Linked DNA regions of Coturnix japonica. The protein of the gene in region 2 purifies or fractionates together with the protein of the main gene of each other region. This does not show direct contact. Links are inferred from orthologs where the notes say so. Each region holds a gene or a part of one and is shown on either strand. Other genes may lie near its edges.

Region 1 (3,655 bases), on a different chromosome or scaffold from region 2:
TTTTCTACATCATGGTTGAAAACTTGTTTCCTTCTTTCTCACCATCATGTAAAGAATCCACTTTGCATTAGGAGAATAAAGAAAGGCTTTAATTAGCTTTGAATTCATAACTTCTATGTACATATTAAGAATATTTTACATATGTTATGCAACCTTAATTCTGCAATGAAATGGGAGATGAAGATTTCCTACAACACTGTATTAATCTTACAACATAATGGATGGCTTTTTAACTGACACTGTAGTGGCTGTTTTTTTCACTGTCACTGCTTTTTCCATTTGTTCAGGATTGACAGGTCTCATTCATCTGTTTTTCCCTCTGCTTGATCTAATGACTGCCTTGTTTGCAATGATTTGTTTCTTAAGACTACATTCTACAGGTTTTCTTGCATACTTGGAAGAGGAAGGAGCTGAAATCTTACAGATTTTATCAACGTACATAATCTGCATTTTTTGTTTTTTTATAGAGGTATAATGTGAAGTTTATGTAGGAAAAGGACGCTGTAGGAATGGACACTTTAGATGTAGTAATTGTGGTATAGAGGGCTGGACTTACCATTATGTCACAGTTCATGTAAGGGATAGGAAGAGGAATGATTTGAAGCTCAGTCCTTGTCATCCCAGGAAAGCCATGGGAGGCTGATACAGTCAAGCCATCATCATTAGGTACTAACAGGGGGCAATGTGAAAGCATAGTCAGAACTGAGAATCTCTCCTTTTCATGTCATCCGTACCAGTCTTAACAGCCTGCTTAGCAAACGTGTTTCCGTAGCCAGAAACATGCCGAAGAAGTGATATCAATTCTGACTGCCAAATATCAAGTGCCTTTTTTCGTGTCCTACAGTACAAGTCCAAATAAGGCTCATCCTTGTACATCTCATTACGTAGCAAAGTGCTTTGACTCTTCTGCCACTGTGTTCCAGATTGGACTTGTTTAGAATACTGGATAGGGATTTAGTCATGTTTCCCCTACATCTTTTTTTAAAGAATTCACTGCTGCTTTTCATTTTGCAGTGACAAAACATTGTTAAACACCGACTGTAACAGTGGTGGGGTTTTGTCTGGGTTTTTTTGTTGCTTTTGCTCTGTGTTCTGCAGCTCTGAACTGACTCGGTTATGACCCAAGGAATAATTGATGGGGATGAATTTCCAGAAATAAGCAGTGAACCCTAGGAAACCCATTTTTTTGACAGCTAATTTTAGTTAACTAGCTCAAGTTTCAGTTGGTGGTGATTAGGTACTCTCAAACTGGTAATTTACCACAATAAAAACTAGTTTGCAGAGAATTCATGGTATTGTAAACCATGTGTAGTCATTTATAATAGCGGTGTTGTACATGGATTAGAAAAAGAGAAATACCCTATCATTCAGCCAATTGGCTGTGTGTTTTAATTCTCAGCATTCTACAATAATAATAAAGCAGCTGGGGCAGGAAATTGGTCATTTGCTGGTAGTTAATGACTGATTTGTGTGTGTTTGCCATCCTCTGCCACCAGCAGAACTGAATAACATTATACATTCCCCGCTCCTTCTGGGTATGGAAATTGTGACTGAGTTATGGAAATTTTAGGGTATGACCCACTCTATTTTAGACTGGAGAAAATGTTTCTTGCACCTGGTCAAATTATGCTTTATTATAAATATTTGAATACAGATTTTTAACTGTATTGTTATGTAGTTTGGGAGGTGAGGGAATCAAAACAAATTTTTTAAAATTCTTGTAAAGTAGTTGTAGTCAAACTTTTTATATTTTACCTGTTTTTGTCTTTGTCTTGTGTATTCTCCTCTCACCTCCTACTTTCAGCCTAACTCAGCAAGAGCAATTCAAAGCACAGCAGGGCACGGGAACAGGAGTGTCCCCTATGATCACGAATTCCACTAATAACAAAGAAGTGGATATCTTACGGATGCTTACCAAGGCCAAAGACGAATACACCAAGGTGAGATTTGCTATCTCAGCTCTTGTGTTTGGTGATACTGTGTTGCTAATCATCTCAGACTTTACATTTTAAAACTTTTTTTGTTTTTTTGTAAAGTAATTTTACTCAATGTTAAGCTGATTTTTGGGCAGAATGCTCTGTCATTTTTTGAAAGTATATACATTTTGTCAGAAATTTCTAAAGATTGGAAAGAACTGAATTCTGTCAGCAACTCCTCAAAGACAACGTGAATGAGATTTGATTATTTGTTGAATGCTGGGGTATAAGGGCAAGTGTAAATTGGCTTTCGTTTTGACCTTTAGAGAGCCTGTGCTTTCAGTACATGAAATTTGTGTCCCCTTTTAGGTTGAAGTATTCAAAACTGCTAGTAGTTTCTGTGGCTTGCACAAATGGTTTACCTTAGGGAAAACCTTTAACTTTGAACTTAGTGCCTTTAGTTGTAGTTATTGTCTATCTTAGACACTATTGGAAGCAAATGAAAAGGTTGAAATGTAGTGTGATACTGCATTGGTCTCTGAGGCTTCTAAACCACAGAGTAACAAATGGACTAATAATGTTCTCTATTATTGGATAATCAAAAATGTTTTACTTCAGGGAATAAAGATCTAATAATTTTAACTATTCATATATGTGCTGCAAATTGTTTCAGAGCCTGCAGGTTCCTACAGCTGTTTCCTGTATTTCATAAGTGTTGCCATGCAGCAATAAAGGTCATTACATAAGTGCTTTGAGTCTAGAAGTACGTATGTTTTAAACATAAGCATAGGGGGAAAAGAAAAGTTCACTTTGAGAAATGTGACTTCTTATCCTCAAATAGCAACTGTTTGAGTTATAGTAACATATATGCCTTTTCTTTTTTTCTGTTAATATAGTTTATTTTGAAGCTGGGATCTGTTTTGTCTGTAATAAGGATTTAATATATTAATAGTCAAGAAACGCTTCCAGTTCCTCGTATCTTTTTTTATTATTTTTAAACTGAACTGGTGTCTAGTCTTGGAATAGAAGGAATTTGATTACTTCAGTGTTTCATAATATAATTTCATTAGATGCCTTAAGAATGGAAAACTAGAAAAATACTGGGTGGACATTGGATACTATGAGAAGGATGTAGTACGTGTTTTAAAAACTACCTTCCACTTCTACACAGCACATCAAGATCAAGGAAAGGAAATTGTAGATCTGTGTTTAGTAGTTTCTTGATTTATTTATTTTTTTCTGCAGCTAAGTTCTTTGCCAGATTTGCATCATACCTCATCTTTAATCTTTCTGCTTATAGGGAAATAACATGAGAACCTTTCCTTCTGGGACATGAGCATTATTATCTGACTGCTATTGAGCTGTGTTTGTGCTCTTTCTTGCTTGATTGGTAATACAAAATTAGAAAGGGCATGAAAAATAAAGTCAGTGACAGCTATTGTTGTATTTTATGCCAATATGTTCCATAGCAGTTGTGCTTTTTGGCTCTTTATGACATTTACTTCTTTGTCAATATATGTCTTAGAGTTTACAGTACTAACATGCTGAAATGGGTTATGAATTACGTTGTTCTTCTTTCTGAATTCCATATGGTTTCAGAAAATAAGGTGCCTTTTAAATTCTTGTGAGCCTTAAGATAAGAATATCATTTTTTCCAAGCATTTAAGGAATTCCACCTAATTTATAAGTCCTAGGTTATTATTTCTAAAATCTGGTGAGAAGTGTTTCTAGGAGGCTTC
Region 2 (3,655 bases):
ATGACATTAGCCAAGGGCCAACTTGTCAGCCACTAACACAAAAGTGCTGTAGAGAGAAAACTCAGAATGACTCACATTCCTGTGTGCCCTGCTTGAAGGTGTCATTGATTTGCTGAAACATGGACTGGCAGCTCTTCTCAAAGGCCGGCAACACGATGCTCTGGAAGGCTTCCCTGTAGGCTGACTGGATTGGGCCCTGCAGGGTATCGGCCGTTGCCCTCACAACGCTATCTGTAAGGTTCTTACAAGAACACACAGAAGATACTCCAGATAATTAACAACAGCCTGCTGCAGGACAGAGATGTGAACAAACACTCTACGTCCCAACCACACACCCACACCAGGTAAGGAGAGTCCTGTCTGTCAGGAGCACACATTCCCTGAGCAGCTGAACTCCTTCCTCTAAGCAGCACCATGACTACAGCAGGCAGAGCACATGATTACTGAGGGGCTGCCCAAGAAAAATGACAATTTCCATGCAGTTCAGCTTGAGAGCAAGGGAAGGCGGTGCAGCCAGGCATGGCTTCTTTCCTCCTCCTCCCCAGCTTCCCTCCCACAACCCATCACTGCCTACTAATGCAAGCGACAAGTTTCTGCTCCTAAAAGCATTCAACACTTGGCTGAGTAAAGTGACCTTAAAAGCTGCTCTCTAGTGAGATCCTCCAGTATAGAGCACGAACAACTTGGTAAATGGCAGAAAGGACTAACAAGGCAAAGCAGGCAGGGGAGCACACAATGAGCTTGCTTTTTCTGATGAAACCAGAAGAAAGCTTTGATTGCTGTCAGCTCTCCTGAGCTCAGACCCACCTGGAGATTCAGGTAAGAGGAAGAACTATGAGGAGTCACTACCCATGCAGGTGACAACTCAGTGTCCTCAGGCATTGCTACAGTCTGGTTCTCCTTACCTTTGATTTCACCAGCTTGGTTATGTTCTCTTTCAGCGTCCCCTCAACAGCAGTGAGCTTGGTGGCAATGGTGTTACTTAGCTGGCCAGCAACTGGGTCCAAACTCTTGGAAATGCCTAGGCACAATACAAACACATCAAAGCTGCAGCTTTAAAAGCCTGGTACCACACATCAAAACCTGACAAAGAAAATAGAGTCAGTCTCTCCCCACGGGTGCCAAATGACACAGGTAGGGAAAAAGGTCACAAACTCTGGCTTAGGAAACTAAGGCTGGACACGACACCAGACCTCAACAGAGAGGCTGTGGAATTTAAGCCTTGAAGGTTTTAAGGACTCATCCAGATGAAGTAACAACTGACCTGATCACGCCAGGACAAGTCTTCCTGCAACCTAACTCCTACTTTGAGCAGTGCCAGCGCTTTCACAGAGCATGCCTCCCACCTCCCCCAGAATCCACCTTCAAAACCCAGGCAGCAGCACTCACACTGGGGTACTGTTTTCTTCATTTCCTCACGAACAGTCCTCTCCAGACGGTTGCACACAGCATTGGAAAGGGTCTGAGAGAGCTGCTGAGAGAGATGCTCCTGGAGCTGCCCGTTGCGCTGCTGTCCTTCTGTCAGTGCTCGATCCAGTCTCCTCTCTAGCAAGCATGCACGTTAAGGAGCACAAACAGCTGACAATAAAGTAACCCATCAAAGAACTAAGGGGCAAGATCCTCCAGTGTATTAAGAAAGTAGTGGCAAAAAATAAGGAATGGAACTACACAGTCACTTCCCAAAGCACTGCAGTGCTTATGGCCTTCATAGGTTGGCTGAAGATTTAGGGGTATGGACAAAGTAGCAATGCTCTATTCTACTTCAAAGCTTCTTGCCCTCAGGAACGGACTGTGAAGTTACACTGTTACACTGCAGCCAGGCCTTCTTTTACAGCACCTATAGCCCATGCTGTTAAGACTACTGAGCTTTCTTAGCCTTCCTCATGCCTCGCAGCCTTCCACTCCAATTTCCAACAAGGATACGCTCCTGCTCCTGCTGGGAGTCGATCACCCGCTCCATGTGGCCCATCAGCGAGCTCTGAATGGCATCAAGGTGATCTGTGAGCCTCTGCAGCAGCTCCATCTGGTTCTGACGCAGCTCAGAGAGCTCACGCTGTTGGCTCCTCAACACACACATCAGCTCTTCCTGGAACTCCGGTGTCACCTGTGTGTGGAGAGGATGAGCACTCGTTCCTGACAGGACCTGCCAAACTTTCTGCTAGGTGTTAAAGCCCCATGCCAGAGACAGAAGCACAACATACAAAGCAGAAAATTGGGCCAGCTTAACGCCAATTTCTAAGACTTTTGTAACGATAAATTAACTGATAAAGCCAAGTACATGAAGGATCTGCATGGATCTCATAAATGGTTGCTTAGAATACGCTGAATCGTGTAGATTCAAAACTCTCTTCTAAGCTCTGGTGTTAAAAAAGAAAATAGGAATAAGCAGAACCAATTCACTTTTGGCCAAGTACAGAGAGGTCCTTATATAAAGGAAGGATGTGGATCTAAGGGCAGTTTAAGAAGTGCACTTAACTCTGCTGAGCACATTTTCTACCAGATAAAGAAGTGCTATCAACAGAAGAAACATACCCCACCAGGCCAGTCCCACTGTGATCATTAGTTTGCTGGGAACAGCTTACCCTGCTGCCAATGTATGCAAGCCATCTTAACAGGGAAGAGGAAATGAGGTGTGGAGTTTGAAATGATACAGAGCTTGTGAGAACACAGAAAGGAAAATCAACATGCAAAAGTGAGAAGGAAGGAAGCAGCTTCCTCTCTGCTGCGCAAGCCACAGAACGGAGCAATGCCACGCCTGAGAGCAGAGGGCCCATGGTACTTAATAGGGATGATTCTTCTCTCAGGTCTTTAGTATGACAGCAATCAGCTGAGGTATCAGGCCCTTGGAAGGGATGGCAGAAGCAGCTCTGACTCACCTGGTTGTTAGATGATCTTGGTGACTGGTTCACATCCCTAGAGATAAAGACAGAGAAATGGGGACTTAATTCTGTCAGTTAACTGCTCTGATTATCAGAAGTGCCCAAACAGATCACTCACTTCACAGGTTATTTTAGATTTCACACCCAGCTCTAACTTCTGTTTTGCCTATTATAATGTGAGTGCAACAGGAAGGCAAGGAAGTCCCGTCCCCACTGCTCTGTGCCTCCATCATTTGCAGTATTCACAGGCCCTTAAGCCCCTTACAGACTGGTCCCTTCACAGGGCTGCTTTCAACACCCAGCAGATCTGAGCCAAGTCTGAATGGGGGCTGTTAAAAAAGAACAAATCAGTCTTGTCTGAGTTCAAAGGCAGGGAAGGCTCTGCCAAAGAGCTTTTGAAGGTCTCCCAATATTTCAGAAAGAAAAAAACCCAGTACTCATTTGTGAAACAGAGAATTAATGAATTTCAAAACATTTCTAACTATTCCAGTTCGGAAGGTGAAGAAACCTTCAGGAAGAAAAAAAACCAACTACTAGAAGGGAAGTACACATTTGCATCCATTCAGCACCTTTACAAAGACCGAGGCAAGAGAAATGAAAAGCATTTCTGGGTGTCACAGTGAAGGACCACAGCCAGAAACTTAATGTCACGAGCTATCTTTTCTTTTGCAACCTGCACAGCTAAGGCTTCAAATCAGGGAGCCAAGAGAGCACAAGAGGAGAAAAGCCCCTTGCAGAAGCTGTGCTACTTTCCCCCTCGTTAATACAGACGGGTT

The links.
Region 1: the proteins of EDC4 (region 2) and DCP1B purify together in Homo sapiens (affinity purification with mass spectrometry; 3 studies listed by BioGRID and IntAct, with this or other methods). This does not show direct contact. The link is inferred for Coturnix japonica from reciprocal best matches to the Homo sapiens genes EDC4 and DCP1B.

Annotation. Positions count from the first base shown.
Region 1 is NC_029516.1:51,549,071-51,552,725, forward strand, and holds part of DCP1B (mRNA-decapping enzyme 1B), read left to right. Parts: intron 1-1,804; coding exon 1,805-1,940; intron 1,941-3,655. UniProt on the Homo sapiens protein: May play a role in the degradation of mRNAs, both in normal mRNA turnover and in nonsense-mediated mRNA decay. May remove the 7-methyl guanine cap structure from mRNA molecules, yielding a 5'-phosphorylated mRNA fragment and 7m-GDP.
Region 2 is NC_029526.1:1,597,395-1,601,049, forward strand, and holds part of EDC4 (enhancer of mRNA-decapping protein 4), read right to left. Parts: intron 2,914-3,655; coding exon 2,877-2,913; intron 2,105-2,876; coding exon 1,924-2,104; intron 1,546-1,923; coding exon 1,390-1,545; intron 1,022-1,389; coding exon 906-1,021; intron 242-905; coding exon 76-241; intron 1-75. UniProt on the Homo sapiens protein: In the process of mRNA degradation, seems to play a role in mRNA decapping. Component of a complex containing DCP2 and DCP1A which functions in decapping of ARE-containing mRNAs. Promotes complex formation between DCP1A and DCP2.